Linked DNA regions of Danio rerio. The protein of the gene in region 1 interacts with the protein of each later gene in a biochemical or structural test. Links are inferred from orthologs where the notes say so. Each region holds a gene or a part of one and is shown on either strand. Other genes may lie near its edges.

Evidence for each region.
Region 2: of the proteins of rnf168 (region 1) and h2ax, one has a biochemical effect on the other in vitro, tested with the Homo sapiens proteins (2 studies listed by BioGRID). The link is inferred for Danio rerio from reciprocal best matches to the Homo sapiens genes RNF168 and H2AX.

The regions. Positions count from the first base shown.
Region 1 is NC_133190.1:4,312,194-4,318,899, reverse strand, and holds the start of rnf168 (E3 ubiquitin-protein ligase rnf168), read left to right. Parts: upstream 1-2,972; 5' UTR 2,973-3,052; intron 3,053-6,706. UniProt on the Homo sapiens protein: E3 ubiquitin-protein ligase required for accumulation of repair proteins to sites of DNA damage. Acts with UBE2N/UBC13 to amplify the RNF8-dependent histone ubiquitination.
Region 2 is NC_133180.1:31,149,848-31,154,896, reverse strand, and holds h2ax (histone H2AX), read left to right. Parts: upstream 1-2,231; 5' UTR 2,232-2,274; coding exon 2,275-2,703; 3' UTR 2,704-2,848; downstream 2,849-5,049. Other genes in the region: hmbsa (hydroxymethylbilane synthase a), read right to left, coding at 3,993-4,163. UniProt on the Homo sapiens protein: Variant histone H2A which replaces conventional H2A in a subset of nucleosomes. Nucleosomes wrap and compact DNA into chromatin, limiting DNA accessibility to the cellular machineries which require DNA as a template.

The DNA of each region.
Region 1 (6,706 bases):
AGTTTAAAATGTCAAAAAAGTGCTAGAACTGATAAAGTATGTGACTGCTTTCTCAAACATCAGACTTAACTACATAAATATATCTTTTTTTAATATATATAATTATATTTTACAAAATAATTATATATGTACTGCCTATTTGTCAACATACGATTAGATACTCATTAAGGGGAGATTTTAGGATGCACTCTTGCATGGACACAAAATTAGAGATGGACACAATTTTAAGACACAACCAGAATGTTAAAGCAGTTCCCTCTGCTGGTTGATTTTAGATTCTAAACTTTTTGATTATATTAGCCATTTCAATATTTTGTCACTTGTTTTTTTTAGTGTATAATTATTGAGTGTAGTTTTAATGTAATGGGCTATATGCACACAAAGCTTAAATTTTCAGCCAGACAGCCCAAGGACTTCCGGTGAACTGTCTTTCCATTACAAAATTGTCACGTATCTGATTTCTTAAAAAATCTGCAATCTTCACTGCCTGTTAGATATACGATATGAAGAGAGTCTTAGATCAGAAAAGAAGCTCTGACCTAAATTCCATTTCTCCCCGCCATGTCTTTAAAATTTGACAGTTTATTTTACCCCAGTATTTTCAATGGAGTTTCTGTGCTAGCCTGTAGCTACTGACGGTGCTAACGGTTACACGGTCTTTCATCTTGTATTCTGCTTCAACAACTAAATGAGTGTTTAAGTCTATTTAACTGAATGTTTTGTAATTACATTACAACATTAATGCTGTATATAGTCACATTAAGCTTTCATTGGCTTTTAAACTCCTGCTGTGCATAAAGCCCATTTAAAGGTAGACTTGACTTACTTATCCTCCTCCTTCATGGTAACTTCATTTTTACACATATTATAATATAACTTCATTTAATGTAAATGTTTAAATCATAAAAAGTCTTTTAATAACACTCTGTGACACTTCAGGGTGGTTCCAGTTGTTATTTCAGTCAATGAGTGCCACATAAAGAGTTAAAAAGAGAGTTAAACATAATAAAAGTCCCACCATGTTTTTGGAAATTCAGAGAGTTATAGTCAAATATTATATAGTTAAAGCAAATTATGCAAATTAATTAAGAGTTTATTTGCTGCAAACTTATGACCACAGATCCAGACATTCTTTAGTGTTTGTTGGCTTGACACAAGTGTGTGGCAGGACTTAAAACGAAAAATATTTACGTTTTCTCGTGAGATCAGGCTGTCAGATCCGATCTGAAATCGGGCCTGATCATGCAGTTTCAGCCTCAATCGTAATTGAACGTATCTCCTGATCAGGACTCAAATATATATATATATATATATATATATATATATATATATATATATATATATATATATATATATATATATATATATATATATATATGTGAACAAAACAGCAACGCGTGCAGCCTTACATCAAGTTGTTGTGAAAACACTATTGTGTTGCCCGCAAAGTAGAACACAGAAGCAGCTTGAAGCAAAAAGTGCAATTATGTTTGCGGTCTGGAGGTATTATATAGTATAGTTGATGATGACAACATTGCCATGGCAAACTTTCAGATATGTAAACTAAGTATTGCTTGTTGGGTATTTTAAATTGAGAAGCAATTCGTTTTATTTGATTTTTTTATATATGTTTACTGTTGCTCTAAAGTCCACAAGTAAAGAATTTAAGTTATTACTTGGATGTTCAAGCTACCTCACAGAAGTGCTCTGTTTGTTAACAGAGTTGTTGAATGTTAAAATAAGGTGAATTAAATAAAAAATAAGGAACATCCTTGATCTGCTTCTTCACTTCTTTATTCTTTTTTAAAGTATTTATTATGTGTTTTTGGATAGGGTTTTGGTATCGGTAGATAGCCTACTATTAATCAAATGACTCGGACTTGAGGGCAAAAACCCTAATCGGGACATCCCTACAAAATATGATGGAAAATTATGTTGTATATAACTTATAAAAATTGTGGGCCGCAAGACTCCCTGGGGCCCTAAGCGACTGCTTACCTTGCTTACTGGTTATATCTGCATCTGTTGACATGGTCCTTATATCGTTTACCATTGTACTTTGAATATTTGGTTAAAAACAGCATGCATGACTTCAAAACAACAAGCACTTTTTAATTGGTCATGAACAATGTTGTATTTAGATATTCATTGGCTGCTAATATGAATTATTTATTTAGAATCTCTAACGAATACCTGTCTGAAAAGGAGAATGTGCAAATGTAAAATGAATTTTACCTCAAATTCGACCAGCCTGGTTTTACAGGGGTTTACAGGATCTGGTCTTAGTTGGTCAGGCTGGAAGACTAGCCAAAACCAGCTACGTCGTCCAGCTTAAAGCAGGCTGGTAAAGCTGGTTTTAGCTGTTCATTCCAGGCCAGAGATGGCTATAACCACCCTAAAACCAACTAACCAAGCTAGTTTAAACAAACAAAAACAAAAAAAAAATTCAGCAGGGAAATGTGGCCTTACGCAATGTAGCCTTAAGAAATTCTTTAATAATATTAAAGAAAAATAAGATTAGTGTTTGAAATACTACCTATAATTACAATCAAAATTTAAATCAGCTCGTTTATATTGTCTGCGTTTCATGCTGTTATAAAGTTTTTTTTAATACTTTTTATACTACTGAAACTTTTAATATATGGCTGTAAAACGTTTTTAATCTTTCAGGTAATGCGTCATGAAGCCATACCAAATACGGAGCGAAGGCTTGTTATTATTTAACCATTTATTGTATGTTCTTCTACCGGCTGTATTGTATGTTTTTTTTTATTGAATGCTTGAAAAACAATAACAACAAATGTCATGAATCAAACAGCAACAATCCAGGGGTCTTTAGTCATTTAGTCCAAGATGAGTGTCAAGTCCTTAATCAAAGTCCTCAAACAAGGTTGGCTGTATTGTATGTTCTTCTACTGATCTAATCCAAATGAAACAGCAGTGCTTTTATTTTGAAACACTGTCTTGTCGTTGCCGCCCATGGTTTCACACGCGCGGGCAGTAGGGCGCAAAATATTCCCGGGATTTTGTGGCCTTGTGAGCAAGAAAGCGCGTAAGTGTGTAAGATGTAAAATTTCTAATTGATCACATTACAAAACCATTCATTAAACTACGTATTGTACTAACAAAAGCAATCCTTCAGTTTAGCCTCACCGTCATCTCTACAGAAACAGCAGTTTGGTCACTGCTAGAAAGTTGCTAACTTGCTAGCCGTCCGATTAGAATTTGTGTTATAACTTGAAAAAAAATTAACTTAAGATGTAAACTGATGATATAAATTACCTTAATATATCAAAGGCACGTCGTTTGGTCAAAACTGCAGAGTTTAACGTTAATGACACGTTAATCATGTCTGAGAACTGTCAACTAGTCGATGTAAACATTAAAATCACATCAGATTTGACGTAATTATATTAATTATGCCAGTAATATGAATGTGTTCGTTGAAAAAAATGTAATTGCTAGTTTAACTAGTTTACTGTCTAGTTAACTAGTTCATAACTAACTACCTTACTGTTTAATACTTAGGTTTACATAATTTTTTTATGAAAACTGTTTAAATGTTTGAGTATTCATTAGGTTTATTACAATTTTCAATCTCTATATTCATTTCATAAAACATGTGTGGGTCAAAAATAAGACTTCCGCTTATTGCTGTTGGCATCAAGTTATATTTAAAAAGGACTTTTATGTGTAAAAGCATTTTAAATAATGGCAAAGTATTAACTGAGTTATTTCAAATAACTTTAAAGACAAAAAAATATATAAATTTGTATTAAAAATCGTCATTCAGCGTAATGGATATGTTTATGTAAAAATGTAAAACTTCTGATCTGTAATAGTGAAAATACAGAAAAAAAAAACTCATAGTATTTGAAAACATTAAAAACTTACTGACAAATGGGTTGATCCTGGTGATATGAAATATAATTTTTGGAATTTTGTTTGTTTGTTGATTACTTTTTACTTTGTTTTTTAAATTCTTGTCACGCTGAATGACATTTTAGTGGGTTTTGTATATAAATGTTAAAAATATTGTGTCCATACATATTAATTAAAAAATAATTAATTTAATTAGTCACAATCTGAAGTAGGGCTGCACAGTATTTAGAGTTATATATCTTTTTTTAAAATTTAATTACCTCAGGAAATTATCTATTACCTGCTTATTTTAGTATGACCAGACCATAACCTAAATAAATATATATTTTAATTGCTGATAAAATAAAATTTTGCAAGCTAGTTTAGGCCTGTCACAATAATCACTATATTGACTTACTGCACAATACATGGACATGACCTCAATCATATTTGTTGATGCGATATATATTGCCCATACATAAAAGTCAAGCAACATTTCTAGCTGATTGTGCGATTTCTCCATCTCTATTGGAGGTGTCAGTGTTGGTATGGTAAACACTATAGTATTTACTATAAATTACTTTTGTATACTTCCATGGGTGCCTGATGATCAGGGCCAGACGGAATCTGCGGACGTTTTTTGCTATCTCTGCGGAGAATTTTGGTAAAAATCTGTGAATTTCAGCGGAATTGTTTTGAGAGTATCGTAACTAAAACCTTAATTAGTTAAATAAAAAGTAATACCTTTTTAACTTTTATTTAATGTTTAAATTGCAAATCTAATTAGATTCACTTTATTTGGTAAACAAAGCAAGTCTCTCATATATAATATATCTACTAGATATAATATATCTACTAAAAGACAGAAAATATTACTTTACAGACTGTATTGTACATAAATCAAATGAACATTTTCATATTAGTCAATAATATTACTGTAATTAGTTTAAAAAAAAAATTAGATTTACACACATTTACTTAAGTAAATAAACAGACTTAATGATGGGCTAAAAATCTACAGAAATCTGTGGAATTCCGCGAAAAATCTGCGGAATTCTGCGCGCGCAGATTCCGTGTGGGCCTACTGATGACTGAAAATAGATGCTTCTTTTTTCTAGATCTTTCTACCTTGCAATTTTTTTTCTTAACATCTATTATTATTATTTATTTGTTTAGAATATTCAGTTTCACATTCTGATTCAATGCCTAATTACTAAATTGTTAAAATGACTATATTTAAATGAAATATCCTTGAGAATAAAATGAGTGTACGTGCATTGTGATGATATTACAGTGTCAAAATGGTCTAAACGTCACAATACTATTGTTTATCATATAAATGTTGGTGCTATATATCGTACCATACACACACACACAAAAATATTGTGACAGACATAAGCTAGTTATAATATGAAAAATATCTCAATACGATATCACATATTATAGTATCGTGCAGCTCTAATCTGAAGTGTGAAAAAGAAACTAAATTTAAATATATATTAAACTCATTTTTGAGCTAAATTACATATTTTTACCATGTGAAACCTGCTGTACCTTGACAGTCTGTGAAGTATTGTAATTCATTTCTAAATACAGAGTTTATCAAGCTCATCCAATTTCATGGCTCGCAAAACTGCTAGCCACATGTCCAGAGGCTATTATGTTTTTCAGTCGGGCTACCAAAAATAAATCTACCCTGCTCAAATGTTAATGTGCGGACAAGTGCAGCCTATTTTAATTCTTTTGCATTTTTACAAATTGGTTAATTATGTTGTATGTAGTTTTCATTTTATCGAGGAACCGATATCAATATATTTCAACTGGTGTCAAAAAAGTGGTGCTAAGTTTATAAAAAATAAAACAAAGTTTTAAAAAGCCTCACATCATTTTTTTTCAGTGTCAATAAAAACATGAACATTTTATAAATTAGGGTTGGTTTGATAGGCAATGTCATCGTCCATTGCCGATGGCCGATAGACATCACAATGCTGAGCTGGCATTGCGATCATCCGCCCCTGTCGCAGCAACAACCCGCTTGCGAAAAATAAACACTAATTCACACGGGGCGTCAACGCTTACCATACACTTTAAATGGGTGATGTCAGGCGTTGCCGATTTGCATTGTGGATCCGTTGGTGCCACTGACAGAAGCACCAACCAATCAGATCGCTGTATGCAAATACCCCAGCTCAGACAGACTAATTGCTGACTAATTTCATTGGCTGACGCTGCTTTGACGATCGTGTCACCCCCAACTTTAGACACACCCTGTGTCAAGCGTTGACGCTGAAGCCCCGTGTGAATCGGGCGTTAGGCCCCTTTTACTTGAATACGTCTTCGTTTTAAAATGGCATTTTAAAATGAAAACGATCTGTCTTTTGAATAAAACACGTTTTACTGGACTGTCTTTTTACTGATTCCAGAACAGGACTTTTTATTTTAATGAACTCTAAAACTAAAAGGACATTTTTAACAAAGTGAAACCAGAAAAGATTTCAGAATTTTTATCATGTATTAACATAAAAATGTTCTAATGTTCTAATTTGCTTGTTGATTATTAAATTGTATATTTATTGTTGAAAGATTCCTGCCATGAAAATAGCCTTGGTTGCTGACATGGCATTAAATAAAAAATACATTACATTACATTTCTTTCTTTTGAATCTATCAGGTAATGTGTCACAGCATCAGTAGCTTCAATCTTACACTTTCATGCTTGTACTTAGTAATTTTAGCGAAAACTCAGATACTGTTATTTGTGCACCCGGGCAAAGACCATGCAAGTCAGGTAGTTGAAACGGTAGGCTACAAGTAATTAATGCGTTTTTAATTAATTAATCATAAA
Region 2 (5,049 bases), on another chromosome or scaffold:
TGGACGGGATCGTCATGCGGTTATTGAGCACAAGGGGGCGACAGAGACCAATGACTATTCAAGCCTCCAAACTGTCGCTGTGTCGTTTTTCTTATTTATTTTACTTCATCATTTGCACTTTGGATCTTATTCTGATTGTTTACAATGCTGGGGAGCTCTCTTTCTGTCGTTTTTAATCATGTTTGTGTATCGTTTACTGTTGCTCTGCACTGGTTTATTTCTCCTGCGCTCATTAGGAGTATCCGGAGAGTGTGATATGCTAGGACATGCTGTGAGCTTTGTTCTCGTTTTGCTGTTGCTATATATAGCATTTAGATCAAGGGATGGGATTCCCTGTTTTCAAATAGTGGTACGTTTGACTTTCATCGTGGCTTCAGTAATATTTTATAACGATGTTTCTATTCGTTTAAGAAACGGAAACGTTCATAAGTTACTGTAGACATATCGCACTAAATGACGTCTGTCTGTGTGTTTTGGTTGTAAAACACGAGCCCTTCGTTTGACAAAAGGGACACACTACAGGTCAAAAAAACGCATTTGTGCATATTTATAAATTATTCCAGGAATTATTGTAAATCTACAACCTCGTGAGATGCATCAGGCTGGATCTGCAGTGGGAAAGTGCTATTTTCAGGGTCCACGTGAAACCTCAGGGGCTAATATAAAAGGTATAATAAGTTTCATCGCTTTATTTTTTTCAGAGATGGCTTTTTAAACCGAACAGGCGCTGCCCCAGTAACACACAACCGCGTTTATTTAAAGTGAGCTGCAATAAAGGTCTTTTGCACGTCAAATACATAAAGTAGATTTTATTAGTGGTAGCTTTTTATTGTAATACTAAGCAGGAGGCTTTGTTGTTTTCTGGTAATGTAAGGTCAAATATAGGAGTAGTTCATACTCAAACCTCCTACTCAACGTGGTCACCATTCATTTTCATTTGATGGATATAAAGATGCTGTGGTAACTGAAGCTGGTTATCTGCATTAAACTCTTCATGTTGCACGAAACAGGATTGAAACCCCCAATCAAATATCATTTTGATGAACTGTCCCTTTAAAGAATCTCTCGCAGTATCTTCCCTTTTTAAGATGTCTAATAGACGTCTAAACAGTCCTCATGGCTAAATAAAGGGCTGTCAGTGAAACTCCAGTAGACGTCTAAAATAGGCCAAAACTAGACTAGTCATCAAATAAACAGAAATTAATGACTACATATATAAAGTCTGTCTATCTGACGACTAGTGTAGTTTTGACTAATCCAAGCTGTTTATGTTTAGATGTCTATTAGACGCCTATTAAACTAAAAAATAGTCTGCTGGGGTTCCCCACCCATACGACTCAATGCAATTCTCAGACTTTTGTTTTTCATTCCAAATAACCTGAACTTATAATAAAGGCAAGGGTGTTCTAACCAAAATAATAGCTACAGGAAAGCATTTTAGCAATTATACAGTGAATTGCAGGTCACGAGTCAATGGCTCAGCGCTTTATAGTCATTTTGGAGCATAAAGCCTGAAAAATGTATGAGCAAAATGTTGTGATGACAGCGAACAATCTGAAGTGAAGGTGCTGCTGCTGGGCCTTCTGAGGTATTCGGAGCTTTATATTGTTGTTCATTTGATGTTTAATTTATTCTGAATAAATTATTTTTGAAAAACCATTCCTCCTTTCTTATTTCCCATTATTAATCAGCTAAAAGTGAATTTATCTAAAATGCACACTGAATCACTTTAGTGTCACATCACGACAAAGTGATTTAATTCATTGTGCATTTTAAAGAAATCGCATACAAATCACATTTTAAAGACATTTACATTGAGTGAATTAAATCTATAAAATATTACGTCACAATAAGTGTACATGAGAGGGTTAAACAAATGAAAAAATTGGTTTTGCGTCAAACTGTGTTAAAATTCAGAGGGAATATGTTCAATTGGTTTGAACTTACCGCCGAAATGTGATTGAGGTAAAGAAAGACCAATACTAGCGCAGACGAACCAAGCGAATCAATCAGCTCTCGCATATTCAGATACACTCTGATTGGTTCGTTACTTTGCGCTGTTTATGCACTGCAAGTTCAAGCCAATGGGGGATTACATCCGCTCTGGTTTCACCACCGACAACCAATCAGGTCTGTACTTCCCTTCGCGCAACCAATCAAATGTGTGGGCGGGACTATGCTTTGAACGTTCAACCAGTCTTTAAATACTGCAGCAGTTTCACTGCCAATGTACTGATTTCTTGCACACGCGAAGAGTTAAGTAAGCCATTCAACATGTCTGGAAGAGGTAAAACCGGAGGAAAAGCCCGCGCTAAGGCTAAGACTCGCAGCTCCCGCGCCGGTCTTCAGTTCCCCGTCGGCCGTGTTCACCGTCTCCTTCGTAAAGGCAACTATGCTGAGCGAGTGGGCGCCGGTGCCCCCGTGTATCTGGCCGCCGTGCTCGAGTACCTGACTGCTGAGATCCTCGAGTTGGCGGGAAACGCCGCAAGAGACAACAAGAAGACTCGTATCATCCCTCGCCATCTCCAGTTGGCCGTCCGTAACGACGAGGAGCTGAACAAACTGCTCGGCGGAGTGACCATCGCACAGGGCGGTGTTCTGCCCAACATCCAGGCCGTGCTCCTGCCCAAGAAGACTGGCCAGGCTGCAGCCAGCTCCGGCAAATCTGGAAAGAAGGGATCTTCCCAGTCACAAGAGTATTAAATGTTGAACTGAGCTAATTCATCCAAAGGCCCTTTTAAGGGCCACCCAACTCTTCTGAAAAGAGCAATTTCCATGTGTCTGAATGTGATATAGCTTGTATTTTTGAGATGCATGCTTTGCTTATTAAATTGTCATTTTTTAATAATGTTAATGTTGGTGTTTTTTGAACCGATTTAGGCTAACTGTTATCACAATTTAAGAATTTACGTTACTTCAGTGTTTATTTCTTAACGGTACATTTTTTTTTTCTCATAATTAATTTATACGAGTTAATTTGGAAAACGGAAACTAGGTTTTCATAAACACAAGGTAAGGCAAAGTAATTCTCTGGTCTTTTTCATAATGTAAAAAGTCTTTATGTATGAGTGAACGATAGTGTGAGTCTTGTTTTCCAGTGTCAGCAAAAAACCAAAGAACTCATCAGGGGGTTGTTGATATACTTTATTATTTATAACACATTTTTTAATTCATTCTCATGTTGATTTGACAACACAATGTTGCTGGCCAAGTAATTGCTATAGTATAGCTGGTCAATTTCACATTTGGAAGGCACTTTACAACTTGCTACATAAATATAAAATATTAACACGAACTTAGACAGCTAATTTTGCCAGTAAAAATCTTACATGGTGCTAAAACACCCATAAAATCTTAGCACCTCAGTACTTTGATTATTACATGAATATTCTTCCAGTGATAAAAGGAAATGTGGGATACTTTGACACATTTTTTTTTACTCCGTTTACGTAAAAGCTAAAGATGAAAAAAAGCTCTGATGTAAAAAGTAGACATCTGTTCACTTCCTTGTAATAATGAGGTTCAGAGACACTGTAAAGCATAGGTCTCAATTCCTGGATGGTTGCAGCTCGCAGTTTTGCTTCAACCCTGATCAAATGCACCTTATGAAGATGTTCATAACTCTCGAACACCTTGATTATTTGGGTCAGCTGTGTTTGATAGGGTTGGAGAAAAACTGCAGAGCTGCAACCCTCCAGGAATTGAGTTTGAGACCTATGCTGTAAAGGCAGAATTGGCGGTTTTTTAAATTTATTTATTTTTTACAAAACTCAGTGCTTGAGACCAGAGAATAGCAGTCATCTAAAAGTAGTGTCTCTGTTAAAGCAAGGCACTGAGGTATAGATAAAACAACATGTTCCTCTAATCATGGTAGTTATTCAGCTATCGTTGATTTGACTGTTTATCCAAGTTAACAGCATGTCAAAGTTTCCAAAATATCTAGGTCTAATGATATTCCAGTGCACAACATGAAATGAACAGAAACATCAGGGTTATCGAGCATCATTTAGTTTTCTGGCTGTTGTAAGAATGTCTTTGGCCCCTTTATTAAGGAGAACATTTGCCAGATCCAGCCCCAGTTTCTCAGCAGCTTCGAGGGCTGATGATGAGATATTGCACGCAGTGACTCCAACATTTGCAGAGCGCTGTGTACTCTCGTTCACCTAAAATATTAAAAAGAGATTACAATGAGGTCAATATTACATTATGCAATTTATCACATATACATTGATGCCTAAACGTTTAGTGTTTGGTAGGAACCTAGGAGGTTTTAATGTTTCCGAAAGCTGCTGCTTATGCTCACGGAAACTGCATATATTCTAAAATAATCAATTTAAAAATGTTGTTTATGACTGAAATAATGCTGAATTGTCAGCATTAATACTTCAGTCTTTAGTGTCACATGATCCGTAAGTAATTGTAATGTTTTCAAATGGTGCTTGTTAAATATTTATTATCTTCAATGTGTAGATGAGCTCATCAAAATTATATATATATATATATATATATATTTTTTTTTTTTATTTATTTTTTTTTTTGCCACAGAAAAATTATTAATAATTTGAAAATGTTGCACCACACACACACACACAGATACACATAAATAAATAATAATAATAATAAATGAATAAATATTAGAAACTAAACTATTGTTTTTGGGTATATATATTTTCTAAAATAAAGATTTATTTGAATTAATTTTATTTAACAGGGACAATGCTCATTAATGAACAGTAAAACTGTAAATAAGCCAGAGTTAGCAACAAGGGCTAGTTTTCATCTGTTGTCCCCTGCTAGATTTTAAAAGGCAACCTAAAATAAAAAAACACATCATCACACACACAAAAACAGTAAAGTTACATATGGCAAAGGGATAAAACATGTAATAAAATTTCTTAAAACGTTAGATAAAAGAATTAAACGATTACAAACTTGATTTGCTTTTAGCCATTTCTTTAACTTGTATTTAAAACTTGAATAATTTGTAACACCCCTTAAATGAATAGGAAGTGTGTTCTAAAAAGGTAGATTTACATCAGCTGCAAAATG